Caenorhabditis elegans: one gene and its partners. The protein of the gene in region 3 purifies or fractionates together with the protein of the main gene of each other region. This does not show direct contact. Each region holds a gene or a part of one and is shown on either strand. Other genes may lie near its edges.

The links.
Region 1: the proteins of F40G9.18 (region 3) and madf-3 fractionate together in Caenorhabditis elegans (co-fractionation; one large-scale study listed by BioGRID). This does not show direct contact.
Region 2: the proteins of F40G9.18 (region 3) and herc-1 fractionate together in Caenorhabditis elegans (co-fractionation; one large-scale study listed by BioGRID). This does not show direct contact.

Annotation. Positions count from the first base shown.
Region 1 is NC_003280.10:4,333,035-4,336,786, reverse strand, and holds the start of madf-3 (Alcohol dehydrogenase transcription factor myb/sant-like protein), read right to left. Parts: upstream 2,040-3,752; 5' UTR 1,976-2,039; intron 1,112-1,975; 5' UTR 1,081-1,111; coding exon 517-1,080; intron 1-516. Other genes in the region: H20J04.4 (RNA helicase), read right to left, coding at 3,052-3,345.
Region 2 is NC_003279.8:1,209,459-1,213,210, forward strand, and holds the start of herc-1 (HECT domain-containing protein), read left to right. Parts: upstream 1-2,026; 5' UTR 2,027-2,036; coding exon 2,037-2,130; intron 2,131-3,115; coding exon 3,116-3,315; intron 3,316-3,752. Other genes in the region: nsun-2 (tRNA (cytosine(34)-C(5))-methyltransferase), read left to right, coding at 1,404-1,547.
Region 3 is NC_003281.10:167,543-171,294, forward strand, and holds the start of F40G9.18 (F-box domain-containing protein), read right to left. Parts: upstream 2,037-3,752; 5' UTR 2,015-2,036; coding exon 1,872-2,014; intron 1,820-1,871; coding exon 1,520-1,819; intron 1,352-1,519; exon of another isoform or gene 1,247-1,351; intron 1,225-1,246; exon of another isoform or gene 947-1,224; intron 622-946; coding exon 28-621; intron 1-27. Other genes in the region: F40G9.9 (F-box domain-containing protein), read right to left, coding at 2,828-2,963, 3,015-3,608, 3,671-3,752.

The DNA of each region.
Region 1 (3,752 bases), on a different chromosome or scaffold from region 3:
AGGCAATATCCCGAAAATAAAAATATTCCGGCAAATCGCCAAATTGCCTAAAATTAGAATTTCCGGCAAATCGCCAAACCGGAAATTTGCCGAATATCAAAATTTCCGGCAAATCGCCAAATTTGCCGTTTATCAAAATTTCCGGCAAATCGCCAAATTTGCCGTTTATCAAAATTTCCGGCAAATCGCCAAATCGGCAACTTGCCAAAAATCAAAATTTCCGGCAAATAGGCAATTTTCCAAAAATCAAAATTTCGGGCAAATCGCCAAATTGCCTAAAATTAAAAATTCCGGCATATCGGCAAAATGCCCAAAATGAAAACTTCCGGCAAATAGGCAATTTGCCAAAAATCAAAATTTCCGGAAAACCGGCAAATTGCCTAAAATTAGAATTTCCGGCAAATCGTCACTTTGCCGGGAATCAAAATTTCCGGCAAATAGGTAAACCGGCAACTGCCGCCTGCCAGATCCCATTTTCCATAAGTTCTCCTTTTCATGAGGCCTCCAAATGCCTACCAAATTCCTCAGCCTCCTCTTCTCCCTAACATATCGATCTCGATGCTTCTTCCATTGTTTATAAATCGACGGAACTGTTCCAGGATATCGTAGTTTATCAATAATCATTCCCCATGCTTGAGTACGACAGTCTCCATGACGATATTTTGGATCACGAACATCATAAAGACACGGATGCCTTCTCACTTCAAGAATTAGATTTTTTCCAAAACATGGCTCAGCAATCTTTTCATGAACTCCAGTTGGCTCTTTTCGAGATGGTGATATTTCTGCTCGATCTGTCATATGTGGATCTAGAAAATGAAGATGTTTGAAATATTGCCATGATGATTTCTCATTTCCATATTTTTGTTTTCTCTTCTCTTTTCCATATTTATCTCTTAATTGCTTCCATCTCGCAGATAACATTCTCGGATCACCATCAAAACCGAGTACAGTAACCAGACGCTGCCAAACTCGATTTTTGTATTCTGTATTACGGTATTGTCGGTCTGTATTGTCGAAAAGGCATCGACTATGACGGACGGCTTCGATGAGACGTAGGTTGAATGTCGGTTCGATCATTTCCTCGCCGAAGCGGGTCGCTGTGTAGTTCCTGCAAAAAAAGGTTATTTATGATTTTTTTTAGAAAAATCAGATAATTTTCTGATTTTTTTAAGCGAACTTTTTTTTCGGAAAAATGCTTTTTGGGATTTTTTTGAGTGAATTTTTGATTTTTCTAATTTGAAAAAAAAAACTGATAACATCAAACTTTATCCAAAAATATGTTCTTAAAGGAAAACGCGATTTTTTGAATTTTTATCGAATATATAATTTTAAAAAATAGTTTTTCTGTCGGAAATTAATTTTTTTTTAAATTTTTTACAAAAAAAGCGCAGTTTTTTTTAAAAAGAAAATCGAGTATTTTTTCTCAAGAAAAAACACCTTAAGATTTTTAAAGATTTTTATCGAAAAAAAATGTGTTTTTAATGGAAGATCAAGTTTTTTTTTAATTCAATTTTTTTTGATAGAATATATAATTAAAAAATGGACTTGTTTCGAAAATTAACTTTTTTAAATTTTCGTATTAAAAAAATTGCAATTTTTTCGAAAAATCTGGTATTTTTCGAAGGTTTTTAGAAACATCTTTTTTTTAAAGTAAAAAACGTTTTTTTTTTTCGAAAAAAAGTGTTTGCAAAAACTGATTTTTTACCTTTTTAAAATAAAAAATTGTTTGTTGAAAAAAAAAAATTTTGACAACAAAAGTTTTTTTTTAATTTTTTTATTTAGTAGATTAAATTATTTTTAGCACTTCGTAAGTACTTACAATTAGAAAAATTTTCTTTTTTCATATATAAAAAATTGTTGATTTTTCGCCAATTTATCGGAAAATAAATTGGATCTTTTTTGAGAAAAATCTGATTTTTTTTTTCAAAAATTCGATTTTTCTAAATTTATCCAAATATCATTTTAAACTCACATATCGTATTGTTCTTCGTGATATAAATGCTGATAGTTGTGCTCACTGGAGATCATGATTAGCTGAAAGTGTTAGAGCAATCGCTTTTTGAGACGGCTTTTAGAGATATTATGAGGAAGGTTTTAAGGAAACCATTATGGGGAATAAAAAGAAAATAGATGTGATAGAAAATATTGATTTTTTTTCAAAAGAAATCAACAACAAAAAAACAAAACAAAACAAAAAAAGTAACAATTTAAATCTAAAACAACAGAAATCGCAAGCTCGTGTACTCCACGAGGAGAAGTAAAGTACTAGAATTTTGAATTTAACACTAAAAAAAAATGATTTTTTGCTTTAAATCCCAGAAAAAAAATGAGATTTTCAATTTTTGGTGATTTTTGGCAACTTAAAAATTTTAATTTTAAATTAAAAATTTGCATTTTGTTAACAGTTGCTGTTCGGCAAATTTCTTTGTCGACAAAATCGGCAAATCGGCGAATTGTCGACCTGCCGATTTACCGAACATAAATTTGCAGGAATTTTTTGGAAGAATTTTTACGAGACGGAAAAACTTGAAACTGTGCTTTTTTGAAATTTTTTTGTCGGTTTTCTAGATATTTTCATAGAATTTGCCAATTTTCAAATTAGATGTAGGAATAGTCATAGGATGCGTACAGTTTTGCCGATTAAAATTTAAATTCTGAAATATCAAAAAAAAAAAAGGTAAAAAATCGCAATTTGCCGAAAATCTATGGCAATTTCCGTTTTTTCGGCAAGTTGCAGGTTTGCCGATTTACCGCAAATTTTCAATTCCGGCAAATTTGCCGATTTGCCGGAAAAAAATCGTTTGCCGCAAACACAACTTTAAATGCCAAAAATATACCGTAATTTTAATTTGAAAAAGTGGAGATTTGCAATTTTTGGTAATTTTTGGCCACTTTTAATTGTTTTAATTGTTCAAAAATTTGCATTTTGTTAACAGTTTTCTGTAATTTTGAGCAAAAACTGTAAAAATTTTGCACTTCTCCACGAGGAGTACACGAGCCGCGTAAATCGACACAAGCTGAACAAAAATTACAATATTTAAAATGAATTCAATTTTCTTCCTTTTTCACTTTTTTCGCCGCCAATTTCTTCTGAAATCGATCTCTTTTATCCAATTGTCCACTAATTTTCTCCAGCTTTCTCTTGGAATTTGTCATTCTTCGAGTCCTCATTTCCTCCAAATGCCTATCAGCTTCATCTTCATCCATTCCACTCATCAGAAGCTCTTTTCTTCGATTAATCTCCTTTTTCTCTCCGAATTTCTGATTTTCCAGCTTCAACTCGGCTTCTTTCTTCGCCACAAGCACTTGGGTGACGTATTTGGTGACATGTTTTGGGCTGACCTGAAAAAAATGCGAAAATTAAGGGAATTTATTGATTAAAAAGTAGATTTTTTGTGTAGAGAAATGAAAAGAGACGGGGGAAAAAATGATGAAAAAAAAATTATTTGCGTCAATATAGAGAGAAACGCAGTCAACTAGAGAGTGAAAAATGAGAGGAAAATATTTTTTTTTGGCGTCATTGAAAGTGGAAGGAGTTTGGAAATTCAATATTTTGGCGGGAAATTCAAATTTTTTGAAAAAAAATGTTTCTTCCGCCTTTTTCGTGTTTTTAGCAGAAAAACTCGCTTTTTTCGAAAAAAAAATTAAAAATTTTCCTTTTTTATCCAAAATATGGCACTGGAAAATTACAAAAGAAGTGCAATTTTTGTTTTTTTTTCGCTTTTTTTCTAGATTTTCCGAAAAAAAAA
Region 2 (3,752 bases), on a different chromosome or scaffold from region 3:
TTCGGCAAATCAACAAACCGGCAAATTGCCAGAAATTAGAATTTCCGGCAAATCAGCAAACTGACAAATTGCCAGAAATTAAAATCTCCGGCAAATCGGCAAATTGCCAGAAATTAGAATTTTCGGCAAATCAGCAAACCGGCAAATTGCCAGAAATTAGAATTTTCGGCAAATCGGCAAGCCGGCAAATTTCCAGAAATTAGAATTTTCGGCAAATCGGCAAGCCGGCAAATTTCCAGAAATTAGAATTTTCGGCAAATCAACAAACTGACAAATTGCCAGAAATTAAAATCTCCGGCAAATCAGCAAATTGCCAGAAATTAAAATCTCCGGCAAATCGGCAAGTTGCCAGAAATTAAAATTTCCGGCAAACCGAAAAATTGCCAGAAATTAAAATTTCCGGCAAATCAGCAAATTGCCAGATAGTAGAATTTCCGGCAAATCAGCAAACCGGCAAATTGCCAGAAATTAGAATTTCCGGCAAATCGGCAAGCCGGCAAATTGCCAGAAATTAGAATTTCCGGCAAATCAGCAAACCGGCAAATTGCCAGAAATTAGAATTTCCGGCAAATCAGCAAACCGGCAAATTGCCAGAAATTAGAATTTTCGGCAAATCGGCAAGCCGGCAAATTGCCAGAAATTAGAATTTTCGGCAAATCAACAAACTGACAAATTGCCAGAAATTAAAATCTCCGGCAAATCAGCAAATTGCCAGAAATTAGAATTTTCGGCAAATCAGCAAACCGGCAAATTGCCAGAAATTAGAATTTCCGGCAAATCAGCAAACTGACAAATTGCCAGAAATTAAAATCTCCGGCAAATCGGCAAATTGCCAGAAATTAGAATTTTCGGCAAATCAGCAAACCGGCAAATTGCCAGAAATTAGAATTTTCGGCAAATCGGCAAGCCGGCAAATTTCCAGAAATTAGAATTTTCGGCAAATCGGCAAGCCGGCAAATTTCCAGAAATTAGAATTTTCGGCAAATCAACAAACTGACAAATTGCCAGAAATTAAAATCTCCGGCAAATTGGCAAATTGCCAGAAATTAAAATTTCCGGCAAATCGGCAAACCGCCAGATTGCCAGAAATCAAATTTTCTGCAAATTGCCAGAATTTTAATTTTCCGGCAAATCGGCAAATTGCGAGAAATTAGAATTTCCGGCAAATCAGCAAACTGGCAAATTGCCAGAAATTAGAATTTTCGGCAAATCAGCAAACCGGCGAATTGCCAGAAATTAGAATTTCCGGAAAATTGTTATTTTTAGAAAAATAGGATAATTTGAAAATTGAAGAAAAAAAACTAATAAAAAAGTTTAACTAAATTTTTTTGGAAGTTTTCACAAATTGTTAGTAATTTCATGAGAAATAAGTTAAATTTTTGTCCAAAAAATCAATTTTTCAGGCCGCCCAAGACCGTGAAGCCGCGTGGGCTCGCAAGGAAGAAGCCGCAAAGGCTGCGGAGCCGTCCAGCAGCTCAACTGATGCTCCAGAATCTGCTGAAACTCTGGAAATTCCAGAAGAAAATGTTCAAGAAATGACTGAATAATTTGTTTTTTTTTTGTTATCTCTTTTTTCTCCTTTAATTTATCTCCATTTATCCCCTACACAGTTATAAATTCTGCTACGTGGCCGTGTGGAAAAAACTCGGCCACCGATTTTTTTTTGTTCCCTCACGTGGTGCCAAAGTGTTTCATTTCTGTTTGATCTACAAAAAATGCGGGAATTTTTCCCCAAAAAACTGTGACGTCAGCACGTTTTTAATCGTGCAAAATCAGTTGAGAACTCTGCGTCTCAACTCCCGCATTTTTTGTAGATCTAGGTAGATCAAACCGAAATGAGACATTCTGTCACAACGTGTTCCCTTTATTGTTGTTGCAGTTGTTATTTGATTTTTTTTTTTGAAAAAATTTGAATTTTTTTTTCAGATTTTTTCCTCTGATACTGCTTCAAAAACTAAAGTTGTTGAGATCACACTATGATATTTTCTAGATTGTTTTTTTAAAATTTAATTGTTAAAAAAATCAGATTTCAGAAAATGCGAGCTGAGCTGCTCGGATGTGGACACACGGGCGAGGGACAGCTCGGCGTTCGGCTCTCCGAGTCGACGATTCAAGTTCCCGAGAGAATTAGTACGGAGCTATTTTTGTTGCAGAAATTAGAAAACAGAAAAAAAAATTAATTCCGAAATTAAATTTTAAAAATTAAAAAATTTCGGATGAAAAAAAAACAATTGGAAGATTTTTGTAAATCTTTCACAAAACTTTAAAAAAAACTTTTTTAAAGAAATAATGGCAAACCGACATTTTGCCGGAAATGGAAGATTCCGGCAAACCGGCAAAAAGCCAGAAATTAAAATTTTCTGCATATCGACAATTTGCCTAAAATGAAAATTTCCGGCAAATCGGCAATATGCCTAAAATGAAAATTTCCGGCAAATCGGCAATTTGCCTAAAATGAAAGGTTCCGGAAATCGGCAATTTTCCTAAAATGAAAGGTTCCGGCAAATCGGCAATTTTCCTAAAATGAAAGATTCCGGCAAATCGGCAAGTTGTCAAAAATGATAGATTCCGGCAAATCGGCAAAAAGCCAGAAATTAAAATTTTCTGCAAATCCACAATTTGCCTAAAATTAAAATTTCCGGAAATCGGCAATTTGCCGAAAATGAGAGATTCCGGCAAATCGGCAATTTGTCAAAAATGATAGATTCCGGCAAATCGGCAAAAAGCCAGAAATTAAAATTTCCGGCAAATCGGCAATTTGCCGAAAATGATAGATTCCGGCAAACCGGCAAAAAGCCAGAACTTAAAATTTCCGGAAATCGGCAATTTGCCGAAAATGAGAGATTCCGGCAAATCGGCAATTTTTCAAAAATGATAGATTCCGGCAAATCGGCAAAAAGCCAGAAATTAAAATTTCCGGCAAATCGGCAATTTGCCTAAAATGAAAATTTCCAGCAAATCGGCAATTTGCCTAACGAAAAAAAATTGATTACTTTGGAGCAAAATTGTATGCATCTTTAAAAAACTCTTTTTTTTTGAATATTTGTTTAAAAACTGTGTGAAAATAGTTTAAAATCGTCTCGGAATTTTCTCTGAAAATTGTTCAAAATTTCAGTTGGCGCTCCAAATGATATGGATGGAACCGCAGTGACGTCAGTCACGTGTGGTGAACAACATACAGTATTCCTGACAAAAGATGGCAAAATGTGGAGTGTTGGTAGTAATATGGATGGACAATTGGGACGAGGCAGTCGGACTGAGGGTTCTTTTTCGATTTATCCGGTTTCTTGGACAAGCAGTGCGAAAATTATTCAGGTAACTTTGAGTTTTTTTTTTGGCGAAAATCCATTAGAAAATGATTTTACCATATTTTTTCGCTAAATAACATTTGAAAAATAAAAAATTTTTCGTTTTTCCCTAGTTTTTGGCGAGAAAATCCCGTAGATCTCATTTTTGTAAACTCTTTTTCCGTGGAATCCCCTTTTCTTAGATTTCCATCTCGCAGATCCTCTTCCCATAGTTCCCATTTGCGTAAATTCTCTTCTCGTAGATCCCCGTTTCGTAGATCTCCGTCTTGTTGATCCCCTTCTCGTAGAATAGCAAATTTCTAGATCCTCTTCTCCCAGATACTCTTTTGGTAGATTCACTTCTCGTAAATCTCCTTCTCATAGAATTAATTTTGGTTCCCGTTTCGTAGATCTCTGTTTCGTGCAAGCTCCCTTCTCGAAGATTCCTTTGCCGTAGATCTTCTT
Region 3 (3,752 bases):
TTTTTTTTTTTAATTATGAAAACTCACTTTTTATCAAACACATAGTATTTCGGCCGTCTAAAAGGATTCCATGGGTTTGCATCAAGTTGGTTGTAGATCATATCAGCTTCTAAGGGATATTCTTTTTCAGTACGAATAAGTAGAGATTCTAGATTTTGAAACGCTGCACCTGATTTCCAAAGTTTCAGACAACGAATCACATCTTCGTTTGAGATATTCACTTCAGATAGCCATATGTGACGCCCGGTGAAATGCCAAGTAGGTAGATCAATTAATGAACCAACGTAGGAAATGAGCAAGTGGTTTAAGTTTAGAATTTTTGAATTATTCTTGAAGATTCCATCAATCGGGTTTTTAATAACCAAATTCTTCATATTTAGCTGTTCAATGTCGGCTGCTTTGAATCTTCTATTAATTCCACTGGTATTGTGCAGGAAAGCATAGTTAATGTTTTCAATATGCGGTAAACAAGTTGTAAAATCTTTTGAATCAATATTTAAATGAATTTCGCTCGCGGGACGATGTATGGATCTCAGGCGTTTGTCAATGGCCGAGTGAGAAATTTTGAACGATGAGTTGATCGACCACAGTATTAGAGACCCATCTAGTGAAACTCCAATTCTGAAAAAAATAGTTTTATGGAAAACATAAACAATACAGATACATGCCTAGGAACCCTGGAACCCTGGAACCCTGGAACCCTGGCACCCTGGAAACCTGGACCCTGAAACCCTGAAACCCTGAATCCCTGGAACCCTGTCACCCTGGAAACCTGGACCCTGAAACCCTGAATCCCTGGAACCCTGGCACCCTGGAAACCTGGAACCCTGAATCCCTGGAACCCTGGAAACCTGGACCCTAAAACCCTGAATCCCTGGAACCCTGGAACCCTGGAAACCTGGACCCTGAAACCCTGGAACCCTGGAAACCTGGACCCTGAAACCCTGGAACCCTGGAAACCTGGACCCTGAAACCCTGGAACCCTGGAAACCTGGACCCTGAAACCCTGGAACCCTGGAACCCTGGAACCCTGGAACCCTGGAACCCTGAAACCCTGAATCCCTGGAACCCTGGCACCCTGGAAACCTGGAACCCTGGAACCCTGAAACTCTGAATCCCTGGAACCCTGGAACCCTGAAAACCTGGCACCCTGAATCCCTGGAAACCTGGAACCCTGAATCCCTGGAACTCTGGCACCCTGGAAACCTGGAACCCTGGAAACCTGGACCCTGAAACTCTGAATCCCTGGAACCCTGGAACCCTGAAAACCTGGCACCCTGAATCCCTGGAAACCTGGAACCCTGAATCCCTGGAACTCTGGCACCCTGGAAACCTGGAACCCTGGAAACCTGGACCCTGAAACCCTGAATCCCTGGAACCCTGGACTCTGAAACCCTGGAAACCTGGACCCTGAAGCCCTGGAACCCGGGAATCTTGGAGCCTTAAAACGCTGGTGCCCTGGAACCTCTAAACCCTGGAATTCTGGAACAAAGAAACCCTAAAACCCCGTTGTACTTACCTGAATCGAATACCATCCAATTCAAAACAATTGCACCAAAGCCACAGTCCTGCTTTGAATAATAAATCGGGCACAAACAAAATAACGCACTCGTCCTCCACTAAAAATTGATGTTGATGTCTATCAAATGTTTTGTAGCACATATGAATCATGTTTTGCTGTTCCGATTTACAGTTTTGCACTGAAACTGCAAGCTTTCTAAAACAAAGGGATAATGCAAACACGTCGCGGGTACTCAGAAATTTGAAGATCCTTTTTTGAACGAGAACTGGGAGTTTCACAAGATGCAATTTCTTCATTCTGGAAAAAAAGAAAGAAAAATATATAGGTTAATAGCCATAGATTTCTTTACCTCATTTTCCTTAATTTTGCTTTTAAAACATCAAAAGTGATGAGTGAAACAATTTCAACAGCCAAAATCGTAGTACACACAAATATAAAGTTTTCTTCAATATAAGAGCTAGCTTCATTAAGAAATTTGGATAGCGAGGACATAACAATGACTGTAGAATGGAAAAGAGGTAAATTGAGATAGTGAAGAGCACAAGACGCGCGCGCGCAGAGCACGAATTATCGATCGATAATATTTATTGCCGGCGTTGGTGTAGTCTTGCACCATGTTACCGAGCTATTCATATTGCACGTGGAGCCAGAATGTCTTATTTCGATTTGATCTTAAAACTGCGGGAGTTGAGACCCAGACATCTTATCTGATTTCGCATGGCTAAGAGCGTGCTGACGTCACAATTTTTCTGGAAAAAGTGCCCGCTTTTTCGGTAGATCAAACTGTAATGAGACAGTCTGACACTATGTGATATTGGGAACATTGCTTGAATTATCGAAGGTTGCTAAAACCGATTTTTGGCCATGTTTTCTAGTTGAAGCCTATTGAAATCAAGGGAGGTGAATGTAATATTCTCTCATTTCTCCAGTTGTTACAGTCGATTGAGGACAATCGGTGAATAGAAACAGAGGGGCAATCCCTGAAAGCTTACCACACCACTAGACAAAAATGTGTACGGAGGTTAAACAGGGTTATACTTGAATATTGGTAAAAAACTCAATTTGATATGCACTTTTACTTTTGAGAAATTGTCATTCTTAAAACTTTCACATACATAGTTTTTCTATCATTTTTTTTTTGATTAATTATTTTTGTTGCTATAATTTTATTTAGGTAAGCTTGTAACTTAGCTAAAGTAAAATGATTTCTTTTTTGTTTTTGTGCAAACAAAGCACTTCAAAATACCGACAGTTGAATATTCCAGTTTATTACCGTTAACAAGTATTGACAAAAAAAACGTTATCTTATAGTTTCCAGACGTAAAGTTCCAAACAATGCGGCATAATGTATATAGAGGCCATTTTCTCAATACCTTCGATATCCAGATAACGAGCAAAGTCCATTTTGCTGCAATTGTTTGAAAAGTTGAAATACCGTACACTGAAACGCAATTCTTTTAAAATAATAAATAGAAAATCAAAGAAAACTGACTTTTCATCAAATACATAATACTGCGGCCGTCTATCAGAATCCCATGGATTTGCATCAAGTTGATTGTAGATCATAGCAGGTTCTAAGGGATATCCTTTTTCAGTACGAATAAGTAGAGATTCTAGATTTTGAAACGCTGCACCTGACTGCCAAAGTTCCAAGCAATGAATCACATCTTCGTTTGAAATATTCGCTCCTGATAGCCATAGATGACGACCGTTGAATTGCCAAGTCGGTAGGTCAATCGTTGATCCAGCGTTGGTGAGGTACAAATGATTTAGGTTCAGAATTCCTGAATCATTCTCAAACCTTCCATCTATTGGGTTACATATAACCAAGTTCTTCATATTTAGCTGTTCAATGTCGGCTGACTTGAATCTCCTATTAATTCCACTGGTATTTTTCAGAAAAGCGTAGTTAATGTTCTCAATATGTGGTAAACAAGTTGTAAAATCTTTTGAATTAATATTTAAATGAATTTCGCTCGTGGGACGATGTATGGATCTCAGGCGTTTGTCAATGGCCAAGTGAGAAGTTTTGAATGATGAGTTGATGGACCACAGTATTAGAGACCCATCTGGTCCATTTTCTACTCTGAAAAAAAAATTTTGGCAAACATATACATGCCTTGAAACCCTGGAATCCCTTGAACTCACCTGAAACGTACACCTTCCAATTCAAAATCTTTGCACCAAAACCACAGTCCTGCTTTTAATATCAAATCGGGCACTAACAAAA